Linked DNA regions of Oryzias latipes. Each later gene encodes a partner of the first gene's protein in a complex. Links are inferred from orthologs where the notes say so. Each region holds a gene or a part of one and is shown on either strand. Other genes may lie near its edges.

Region 1 (3,078 bases):
GGACGCCCGAGGAGGACCTGATCATCTACAAGGCTCACTGCCTGCTGGGAAACCGCTGGGCTGAAATCGCCAAGCTCCTCCCTGGAAGGTTCTTAACCCTTTAGCCCTGCAGATGTCCACGCCGACACCTTAATAACACACATTCTTGGGCGTACCGTAACACTTTGACTATTTATGCGCTCAACCTGAATCGGTGGATTACTATACTAACGTAAAGTGTTGCATAACAGCTCCAAGCTGCTTTTCTCCGCTTCAGAAAAATTGTCTGTATTTGAGAACTGGACTGAGTGAGCGTGATGTCACCCACAGAAAATGGCTTACTGGTTCCAGCGAAATGAGGTCAATTCAGTCACCAGTTTTTTACAATACCAAGGCCGCCATGTTGGAATCAGACGTCGCCAATGAGGAGTGATTAGTCTGAGTCAGCCGCTCTCGCCAATCAGGAGCGAGCTCGTTGGAAGTCCCCGCTAGGCCTACACAAATGTATCGCCATCACAATATCAGCCTGTGCGAGACGAGTGTTGCAAAAGACTAAATCGTTACCTTTACATTCGATGAAACAACCTCATGGCAGCTTAAAGTATTTAACGAATCCAATGCGCATTTGGCCAATCAGGTGGAGCCCGTGGGTCATTTGGAGTCTAAATTAAGTTATGTTGACTTTTTTTTTTTGTTTTTAACAAAGAGTTGCAGTGAAATAGTAATTGGTTTTTCTTTGGCTGTTTGTTCATGTAACTCGAGTCGTATTGTGTTGATCACTAATTTCATAAATTGAAAGTTGCAGTGCAGCCCTACTTCACGCCCCTACCACTCTGAAGCTGGCGACACAAAATCTGTCAAACGTTTGACGTGCACATTTTTATTGAGGCACCTGATTGGCCCATTTATAACTTGAATGTTCAGAATCCTCTTTAAAGTCTCGAATTGCGTAAGCGGTGGAAGAGTTACGGTAGTCGAAAGAATGACAAAACATTGACTAAACCCCTGCAGATTTCTGGGTTTGGAAACTTCCAAGTATCCATGTGGTATTTGTGGTAACAGGACGGACAACGCGGTGAAGAACCACTGGAACTCCACCATCAAGCGCAAGTTGGAGATGGGCTTCTACGCCGGCGAGGTGTGGGGAGCCAACGAGCTGGAAGACATGATGGCTCGTATCGGTAAAGACGTGCCGGTGGGTGAAGATCTCCTCAAACGCTTGTTTCCGGTAACTCATTTCCAATCAACTGAAGGTTTTGTTTCATGTTCACGCAGACGACGGCTAGCTTCTCCCAGGAAGCTCTGGAGACGGAGGAGGAGCAGAAACCCCAAGGCGCCTCGGTGAGCGGCCGATTGAATCCGTTCGTGACTCTTCACGGTTTACGTTCAGTTCACCTTGATGCGTGATGTTTCCGCAGCAGACGCAGGAAACCGCTGCAGAGAACACGGGTGAAACCAAGCTACTAAACGCCGCCCCCTCACCGAAAGACAGCCTGAGCCCTAAAACGGACGGAGAAATGAGCTGTGGCAGCTGGGTGGTGGATGGTTCTGGTTTCCTCTCCCCCACAGGCCCGGCTCTGAAGGAGGTTTTGGACCTGGTGGACGGGGTAAGATCAACTGTTTGTAAATACTTGAGATTGCCACCTTTGAGAGGACAAAAGCAAGGAAACTTCTGTTTGAAGGATCTGGACGGGTGGTGCAACTTGGCGGAGTTCCACCTTCCAGAGGACAGTCCCAGTCCAGAGCGCCACCAGTTCCGCCTGGAGGGCAGCGCTCTGCAGGAGCTGAGCAAAGGCAGCAAAGGAGAGCTCATCCCCATCTCTCCAGGCGGGATCACGCCGCCCTCCATCCTCACCTGCCGCCACCGGAGGCGGGTGGCCTTGTCTCCCGACACCACCATGACGCCCAAAAACACCCCCGTCAAGCACCTGCCGTTCTCTCCCTCTCAGGTGGGCCTCAACACAAAAAAACTCAGAAAAGTCTATTTTCGGTGCCTCCGTTTAACGCAGTTCGTCTTTCCAGTTCCTGAACATGTGGACCAAGCAGGACACTCATGACCTGGAGAACCCCTCCCTCACGTCCACACCCGTGTGCAGCCAGAAAGCCATCGTCACCACGCCACTGCAGCGCGACAAGACGCCGCTCACTCAGAAAGAAAACTCTCTGTGAGTCGGCCTGGTTGCAGCGTTTTCTGTAGATGTGATTTCATTGAACCTCCTGGTTTGTTGGAGTCGGGGTGCGCGGCGGCAGCAGACCTTATGCCTGAAGCTGCGTTCACAACGCCCCCAGCAACGCGCGTTCAAGCAACCACGTCCAATGAAAAGGCTATGTAAACGGGCGCTTGGTGCCTTCGCTTTCACGCATCGCTACACACGTTTTTAAAACCGTTTTCGGGCTCTGCGTTCAGTGGACACCTGTTGAAAGTTAAACCGGGTTGAATTTGACCAATCAGGGACTAGGATTTGGTAGTTATGAATGGATGGCGTCCCTTTTGATTCACTGAAGTGCCAATCATGAAGGAAAAATTAATAATTGCCTTTTGTTTCTGGACGGAATTCTATCACACCAAGTCTTTCAGAAATTGGAGTAGAGCTGGGGAAAAAATAGCCTGGAACAAGATTTTTGACATTTTTCGACATTTTACACCGAGTCTCTTCCAACAACAGGCGGCGGCCATGGTCTGTCACAGGTAGTGACACTCCGCCATATGAACACGCATCACATGCGTGGTGGTGTCACATGCACCCATACAGGTTCTCCTGTATGTCCAGGCTTGCGGAGGGTCGTAGACAGGCAACCCGATTCTTTAAGGGAGCATTGATTTGGGTTACTGGAGTTTTTTCAAATGTAATAGAATAAATGAGACGGGATTGATGAAAATAAAATAAAAACTGGAAAGAATAAAGCGCAAAATCCCAATAAAGCATATTGTGTTTTTGGTGTAACTCCTATTGCAACATTCACACCAGACATGTGACGTTTCTTCAAGAACACGCATTCTTGAACATACTTTTAGCAAATGGTGTTCACACTGGAATGTTGCTACCGGATACTTGTGCATGTAGTCATTGTCGGTGTGAAAGGTCGAAGCGGAGCAAA
Region 2 (4,115 bases), on another chromosome or scaffold:
ATTTTGTAATATTTTGAACAATTTTGAACAGATGTTTTTAGAAAAAATACAAACTTGTAGATATTTTTTTAGTCTTCCCATATAGACGATAAACTAAAAAATAATTGGTTTTGAAGTTGTTGTTTATCATTTTTAACACATTTCTTTTGGCTTGTTTGATGTCAATACTTAAGTTTAAAAATAAATAAATTATGTAATTAGCATTAATCTTTCATCTAATGGCTTTTTAAATTGCAGCAGTGTTTTTAAATTATTGCCAGAGTTTTTTTTAATTGAAGTTATTAAACTCTATTATGAGGTCTGTTTCATTTCATCAAATGATCTAAACTAAATTGTTACAAAGTTTTGTTTCCTTTTTCAACCGTCAGTGAAGCTTTTTTCCTAACTTTAAGTGTCTCAGCATTTATATGTGCATTTTTGCAGGAAATCCTCTATTTATGTTCATTTTACATATTTCTTTACATTTCTAGATACCTAAAAGTGTGGGTTAAATAAATAAAACTTTTATTATTAACACTTGTATTTAAAAATATTAACAGATTTTTTCCCCCCATTAGATGATTAGAAATTTGCCTCTAAGTTGTGGGTGAGACAAAGGAAGTTGAGCAACCCTCCTTCCTGTCACCAATAACTGAGAGCTCTCTTTTTGCCTCCTCTCCCACTATATTACAGCCCCTCACACCCCCAACCTAATATTAAAGGGGGCAATGACAATGGTGAGCAACATTGGAGCTATCCAGCTGTACAGTTTTGATCCAGATACCAGCTCAGATGAGGAAAACAAAGACATCTGCTGGGAATAGAGCAGGGAACTTGTGGCCAGCATAAAGTTGACGTCACAAATGTGATCTTTTTCAAACTGCAGGTTTTTAACCTGCCCCTGACTCACGCCAAAATGAATAAAGAAATACACAAAAATGCAATTTTGAGCTTAATTGTCCTCCTTAATCAGAAAAAATGCCACAAGAACATGCTTAAAAAAACAAGTTTCATCGGAGTGGGTCTGTAATATTAAATACAAAAAAATTCAAGATAAAATAAGTCATAAAATCAAATACAATATATTAAAAAAAATCTTGCAGTTTTTCGGATTTCACGTGTTCTGTAGTACTGTAATATAATTTAAAGTCCAGATGAAATAAATTTAAAAAAAAGGTTGATAATTAGACCACTTACAATTGTGAATTTGACATTTTCTGAAAAAAACAGCTGATTATCAAAAACATTACATTTTTTCTGAAATTATTCTGAATAAAATTTCAGGACAGATGAATGAGGGGGCCTGTCCCTTTAAGAGTTACGTCACGGTGGTGTCACGCGAGGAGGGCGTGGCCGGCCTGTGAAATGTCAGGGAGGAATGGCGCTCGGCGCGGTATTTTGAACAATCGCTTTTACCTTTCCTCGCTTTAACTGGAAACGCTACCCAGCGTTTAAATCCCGGGTAAGCACGATTACCTGTTACCGCCTTGTGAACTTTACCGCACCGTTTGCACTAGAAAGCCGCGCACTTAGGAAGCTGTTCAATGTTGAGGTATAATGTTGTGCTAGCTAGCTGGGGTTAGCCAGCTCAGCAACTTCGCTAGGAGAGTTGTCCTGCCTGCTGGATGAAGATGAAGCCGCCGATGAGGAACCGGGTTTTCACTGACGTTTTCCGCTTTTTTTTAATGAAATAAAACAAAAAAACTTTCGTGCGCTGGGGCAGAAATACGCTGTTAACTGCTTGCTAATGAAGGTAAAACAACAACAAAAAACACAACTGGTTTGGGGTGTTAAGCCACTATTTCGTTGTTTTTTAATTGAACTGAAATTAGTGATCTTAGTAGTTTTTTCAGTTATCTTTAAAGCCTACGTTACAATCAATTTAATTACATTTTTAAACTCTAAGCTTTTTTTTTTTCAAAAATAAAAAAGGGGACATTTATTAACCACCGGAAACAAATTTAAACATGTGAAAACAACCAACGTTTTTGTGGAAAAGTAGTTCATCTGAGTTCTAGGTGTTGCAGTCCGAGAGAAATCCAAACTGACAGGAGGAATTGTGGGAAGCTAGCATTGTTTACACTGTCACAGAGTCCGCTCCGGGTGTTTGTGCGCGTGCCCCGGATTTCCCGGGTCTGCCCTCGAGCTCGGGGGAATGCCTTTGTGCTTCACCGTGAATCTTCTCCGTTTGGTGTCTCCGGCGGCTGGCGTGTCCGCTTTCAACGGAACCTTTTGTCAGTTTTTCTGCGCTAGCAGGGCAGCTAACCGAGTTGATGACGAGGTAAAAATGGCGGATCTTTCGAAATCCAACGCCGGCCTGAAATAGTAACGCAGACCGTAGACGCTTTCCCCCCCGTTGCTTCATGTCCTCGGTTAGACCCCCTCCCTCTGGTTCTGACTGAAAGCGGGTTTGGGCCCGCCTCCTCGCGGGGGAGGAGGAGGGGAGGAGTTCAGGTGGACGTGGGGGGAGGTTCGGGGAGGGTTCGCGCGCTTGCGTTGAGTTGGCCATGCACAGGACCGCTGCGGCCTAACAGACCATCAGCTGTCAGCCTCTGTCACAACCAGCTGATGTGCACATCCCGGGACTCCTGCACCAGAGGCGTGACTTGGTGGGGTTTGGGGTGTCTCCGTTGAGAAACACCAGAGAGGATTTAAAAAAAGAAATAAAAGGAGATCTTTCCATTTGCATTTATCACGCAATCTTTATTACGGTGATGGACTCAACCTTTAAAAAAACTACAACTACTGGCTGAGAATTGTACGGCTGGATTGCTCCAATATTGCTCATCGTTCTTGTTGCACTGGCAATGTTCGGTTGGGGGGTGTGAGGGGCTGTAAGCCAGAAGGAGAGAGAGTGTAAACAAAGGGATGATGGGAAGTCAAAGCAGGCTTAACACACCCCCCCCCCCCCCCCCCCCACCAGTGGTTCAGTCCCCAACTCTGAGGTGATTTTCTGATTAACTCCTGTTGCTCTGCAGGAACTATGTCCTAGGAAATGACAGTAGTTTTTGGATTATTGGCTAAATACGGCAGAATCATAAGTACAAGACCACTGGGAACACTTTGAGAATAGATCAGAAGATGATTGGAGTTGGACTTTTATTGTTGGGTGTCTATTGTTTTGTTTTCAATGTTGTGACGACACTGAATTGTGGGATTTCTTTCTCCTCTCCATTCTGGTCCCCAACATTTTTCAGGCTTGTTTGCGGCTGAAGTGGCTGTCAGATTTTCTTTTACCTCCCAGCTTTGTTTTATTTTTTAGGGTAAAGTTTATCTTCATCCTCTGTAAAAACAGAATTTCCTGAAGGAATCATTAAAATGTGAAATAGATTTTCCCTGAACCAATAACTGTCGAAGTGGAAGACGCCAACTTCAGCTTCGTCTGACCTTTAGTCACTGAAACTGATATTTTCTAAACATAAATGTAAATTTAACATTTGAACAACTTTATTAGCAGCGTCCTCGTAACATTAGACAGCCTTTTGCTGAATATTGTTGTTGTTATTAGTGTGTGTGTTTGTGTTTATGGGGGGGGGTTACAATAATCCACATTTGGAGTAAAGACTCCTGGTTTATGTCTGTTAAATGCAGTTTTCTGTTTCCTCTCTGGATCTTTCCTGCCAAAACAAACTTTCCAAATACGTTTTGTTTTTTGTTAACTTTGCTAGCTTGGAGATTTAAATTTAGCGGTCGGTGCAGCCACTTTAAGAAAGATGCATTTCCTACATGTGTGACTTGACAGAGAGGAATGTGGGTCGTGGGTTTTTTCTCTCTCTCTCAGTAAAGAGTAACGCAGATTTGCAGAGATGCTTCGACTAATGCACAGGTGAATTTTGACTAAATTAAGCAAACTATGGAGGCTGAGACCACAGAGTCTGCAGAACTGGAGATACGATCCATACTGCAGAAAACAGAAATACACGGAGTCTTGGATCAAAATGTTGTTGTTTTTTAAATGACATATTGTTTTTGTACTTCTGATTGTCTTATTTTTTTTTTTAATCCATAAAAAAAACAATCTCATTTCTGTGATCTCTGCTCAAATGTACTTAAACGTTCCCTCTTTGACAGAATTTGTTGTATTTTATTGTAACATTTTCCGAACCCCCTCCCCTCGCCAACGAAGTTTCTCTAAG
Region 3 (4,221 bases), on another chromosome or scaffold:
GAGGTCAACCTGTTTGGAATTTGAATGTGGAAGCAGCCAAAGACTTCAGCGGCAGAGAATTGCGTGGAAATGCTTTTAGCCCCCCCTAGTGGTGAAGTGTCTTTGTTATACTTACACTCCTCTAAACCCAGCTGGTAAGCCAGATTCTGAAGTCCTTTGACTTTTTCCATCAGATTGGCTGTAGTCAGACTTCCCAGCTCTGCAGAGGTATAACATCACACTAAATAAAAGCATTTAGAGATACTTAATTAGCTAAAGAAACATGAATTATTATTTAAAGTCCCACTCGGATTTGATCTTTTGATCTGTTGTAACCCTTGTGCTATCCTAGGCACTTTAACGTTGGGAGTTGGGTCATGTAGACCCACTAGACAGTGCGCTGAACTTTTTTTCTTCAATGATTTATGATCTTCACTGGTGTCCATGGATTACATGAAATCTTTCCACCTTTATCCACCTTTGTCATGGTCGGAAGAACACGTCAATGTAAGGGTGGGGTCATCTAAGATAGCACAAGGGTTAAAAGGCGTTCCCAGAGGTCTTTTAATGAATGATTATGCCGTTTTTTGCCGAGATAGAAAAAAAACACTGTGTGATTTTTAAGGACAGTTAGAGCAGAGCTGCAGTAGATCATCAGTTTATACACTCTACTGCTAGCTTACAGCCACTCACACCCCCAACCTAACCTTAGAAACGAAAATGGCGAGCAATATTGATTAAGAAATAAGAAATTTCAAACAGCATTTTTTCATCTGCTCCTGATTCACAACGATTTGAATAAATAAGAACTCAGAAATGCAATTTCAAGCTTAATTTTCTTTATACGTGTCCTCCATTATCAGATGTCAAGATATCAAATGCCACAAGAACATGTTCAAAACACGGTTTTTCTTATCAGAGTGGGTTTTTAATGTTTTCCCTAAGGTTTATACAGGATAAATGTCAGCTGTCTGAACCAACCTTTCAACATTTCAATGTCCTCACTCTCCAACTCAGCCATCCACTTTGGAGGAGAGGTGGTGATAGGCTGCAATAAAAAGAGAAAAACAACAACATACAAAGTCTCAACTCCAATCAGTCTATGCAGAGTCAATCCTGCATCTTTAGATCAGAGCTAAACTCACATTTTTGCAAGTTGCCGCAAACTCTGCAACTCCAGGCACTGTGTGAGAATTCACATAAAGAATCAATTACAAAGTAATTTTTTATCAGCTGGGCGTGGGAGGATAGAAACTTACACTGCTCTGGCCACAGGTCAGGTGATGCTCTGTCCAGCTTCTCAAAACTCAGCAACGAAATCTCAAAATCCTCCCCTGCAGAAGCACACAGTGGTTCACTTTGACATGTTCTTTAGTTTTTTAAGTTCTATGCTTTTGGAAATCAGTGGTCAACTATAAAATTCAGCCAAATGTTAATTTAAAAAAAATTAAAAAGTAACTTTTTATAAACAGGTCAAAAATTGAAACCTAAAAACAACTTTTGTTTCATGTTTTATCTAGACAGAAAGAGAGGAAAAAATCTAATATTTATCTGGTCTTAAAATTAGGCAGTTTCGAATGAGAATAAATGGTTTTATTCATTTAAGATTCGTACAAACACTGATCAATTAAAATGTTCAAAGAGGTCATAGTCATGTGGTGATCTGATCATCTACTAATAACTCTTACACTGCTGTAAAAATATGTTTGGCCATTTAAACAGAAATGCCTCGTTGATGTGAGAGATCAGAGGAGAATGGCCAGACCGGTTCCAGCTAATAGAAAGGAAACAGGAACTCAAAGAACCACTGGTTTCAACCAAGGTCTGCAGAAGAGCATCTCTGAACAACCCTTGAGGCAGATAGGCTACAGCAGCAGAAGACCACACCTAATGCTGCCATTACTGTCAGCTAAGATCAGGAAACTGAAGCTTTAATTCACACAGGCTCACCAAAACTGGACAATAGAAGATTAGAAAAACATCTGGTCTGAAGAGTCTCCATTCCTGCTGGGACATTCAGATGGTAGCATCAACAACATAAAACCATAGATCCATCCTGCCTTGTATCAACAGTTGAGGCTGCTGGTGGTGGTGGTGTGATGGTATGGGGGATCTTTTCTTGGCACACTTGTTAGAGACACTTTTCTTTCTTATTTGTCTGTATATGTATAAAGGGTTTTCTTTCTTATCAACAATTACTTTTGCTATCAAATCTGAACACTGGTCCTTCACCAATATAGAGAATTGTATCCAAAATTTCAATAACTCTTGACAGAGTGTGAATTACTAACTAATAACATTATTGGTTCTGCAGACTGTTAAACTTTTTAGAATTTGCTTTCAACATTTTTAACACATTAAAAGATACTCATTACGGACATAATACTTAATAGCAGACTGATTCCATTTTCAATCAAAGGAGTCGAACAGTCACACAAAATCTAACAAGCAACCAAAACAGCTACTACTAATTTAAAGTAGAGAAAAATAACTAAGTGCTAAATGTAGCACTGATGCTAATTCGAGCCAAACGGCCAAACGAAGCAACAAGAAGAACAATCTGGACTGCTGCTGTCATCATCAACGGCGGACAATGTCAGTCCCAGAATCAGGAAAAACAAAGGAAGAAAAACAAACCGATTAAACAAGAATTTAGTCCTACGACAAATTTTACGTTACCTCTGGGTGTTCACATTACACTGCGTTATAACTGTTAACGACTTAAATGTCTCGAAACTGTCACATTTGCGATGTATTCAAAGCGTATCGGAGAGAAGAATTAAAATTTACCTCCATTTGGAGACGCCATCTTCAAAATAATCATGTGACATGCAACAACCAATCGCAGCGGCCGCGCTCTGTTTTGAGGTGTGGCGATGTTTTTCAAAATTACGCCGCTAGAGGGCGGCAATGGTGCTCGCGCTGTTTACAAGAGGCACAGAAGATTACTGTTCGTTTTATTCAAAGATTTATATCGTCTTAGAAATTGTAGTACGAACATTACTGTCATAACTTAATGAAAAGACCCTTATTTAAGCCCACCATAGTCTCAATGAAATGTTACAATGCTGGTACATTTTATGGTTTTACCTTAGGGGACATTTAAATCACCTTTTATTCCCTCTAGTTTTTATTTCTGGAAAGAAAAACCATAACTCAATTATTAAACAAGACTTTCACATCCCAGATTTGGAATGTTTTGCATTTAGTTTATATTTTTATAACAACAATTTCTTGCATTTAGTTTACTAGGCCCATGTTTCACAGATTTTACAAGTTTGAACTTAAGTATACATAAAAAAACGGTACAATTTATTATATATATATATATATATATATATATATATATATATATATATATATATATATATATATATATTGAGTTTTCCAATTTTTTGACTTTGCGGCACATCTCGTTTTGTGTTTGTAAATTTTGCAAATATAACAGGACATGAAATACAAGAATAAAACAATTTATTGATCAACATAATAAAAACACAAAATCAAAAGTATAATACTAAAGCTCAGGACAATCTCAACTAAAAATACATGTAAAATGTTCTGGCTTTAAAAAAAACAACAACTACTGTCTCTTTCAAATGGAATTTAGTTTGTCACTAAAGGCAACTTGGTGACAACTCCAGTGCATCTTAAAAGATTCTACAATCTGCTTTCCAAACTGACTGAATTCACATTTTTTCTTACAGAAAGACAAATGAAATGTTTAGACTCAAACTGATGTTTTGAAATTCCCTCGGCTCAAAATGCTCCGTGTCTGTGACATCTTAATCAAACAAGGATAACTAGAAGTCCCAGGAGTCTATCCACTTCAGGCCTGCCATGGCACTGCCCGGCTCATGGGCAAGAGGACCCATCATGCCATAGGACAGAGGATGAAAAAGGTAGAAACTGGAAGGAAGACAAAGATCTACTCAAAATCAACAAATTCTTTATTGCCTTTACATTCCCACCAACTAGATGTAAATATGAGGTCTGCCTTACAGTATTTAGCACTTTGCAATGCAAAAAGTTACGAGAAGAGTTACTTTCACCTGATATAAACTGCAAAGTTAGGGCTCTCTTATGAGTCTCACCTGTAAAGGATGCTGAGCTGAAGTAGCAGCCATCCACCAACTTTCAGCCGGTCAGAATAAACAGAGTGGAGCAGCAGGTCAGAGCTTTTAAGAAGGATGTCCAGTGTAACTCCTGTTGAAACAAGGCGACAACCCTCAAAAGACGGCA

Evidence for each region. Proteins that work in one complex are often made in the same cells at the same time.
Region 2: mybl2 (region 1) and lin54 share a complex: the UniProt entries of both Homo sapiens proteins name them as parts of the DREAM complex. The link is inferred for Oryzias latipes from reciprocal best matches to the Homo sapiens genes MYBL2 and LIN54.
Region 3: the proteins of mybl2 (region 1) and lin52 are in contact, whole or in part, in a crystal structure (PDB 6C48), measured with the Homo sapiens proteins. The link is inferred for Oryzias latipes from reciprocal best matches to the Homo sapiens genes MYBL2 and LIN52. Residues at the interface, in NP_002457.1 of Homo sapiens: Trp663, Val666, Ala667, Gly669, Thr671, Asp673, Gln674, Phe676, Lys680, Ala681, Gln683, Leu684; in NP_001019845.2 of Homo sapiens: Gln84, Ala87, Tyr88, Gly91, Leu92, Glu94, Ser95, Met98, Thr99, Lys102, Phe103, Leu107, Glu108, Lys109.

What each region holds. Positions count from the first base shown.
Region 1 is NC_019863.2:23,220,272-23,223,349, reverse strand, and holds part of mybl2 (myb-related protein B), read left to right. Parts: coding exon 1-88; intron 89-1,041; coding exon 1,042-1,174; intron 1,175-1,254; coding exon 1,255-1,320; intron 1,321-1,397; coding exon 1,398-1,586; intron 1,587-1,661; coding exon 1,662-1,928; intron 1,929-2,001; coding exon 2,002-2,144; intron 2,145-3,078. UniProt on the Homo sapiens protein: Transcription factor involved in the regulation of cell survival, proliferation, and differentiation. Transactivates the expression of the CLU gene.
Region 2 is NC_019870.2:2,882,975-2,887,089, reverse strand, and holds the start of lin54 (protein lin-54 homolog), read left to right. Parts: upstream 1-1,309; 5' UTR 1,310-1,441; intron 1,442-1,481; exon of another isoform or gene 1,482-1,732; intron 1,733-1,838; exon of another isoform or gene 1,839-2,260; intron 2,261-4,115. UniProt on the Homo sapiens protein: Component of the DREAM complex, a multiprotein complex that can both act as a transcription activator or repressor depending on the context. In G0 phase, the complex binds to more than 800 promoters and is required for repression of E2F target genes.
Region 3 is NC_019880.2:13,721,137-13,725,357, reverse strand, and holds the start of lin52 (protein lin-52 homolog), read right to left. Parts: upstream 2,807-4,221; 5' UTR 2,804-2,806; coding exon 2,770-2,803; intron 2,719-2,769; exon of another isoform or gene 2,659-2,718; intron 1,984-2,658; coding exon 1,930-1,983; intron 1,314-1,929; coding exon 1,239-1,313; intron 1,163-1,238; coding exon 1,125-1,162; intron 1,028-1,124; coding exon 961-1,027; intron 200-960; coding exon 116-199; intron 1-115. Other genes in the region: pomt2 (protein O-mannosyl-transferase 2), read right to left, coding at 3,783-3,888, 4,074-4,185.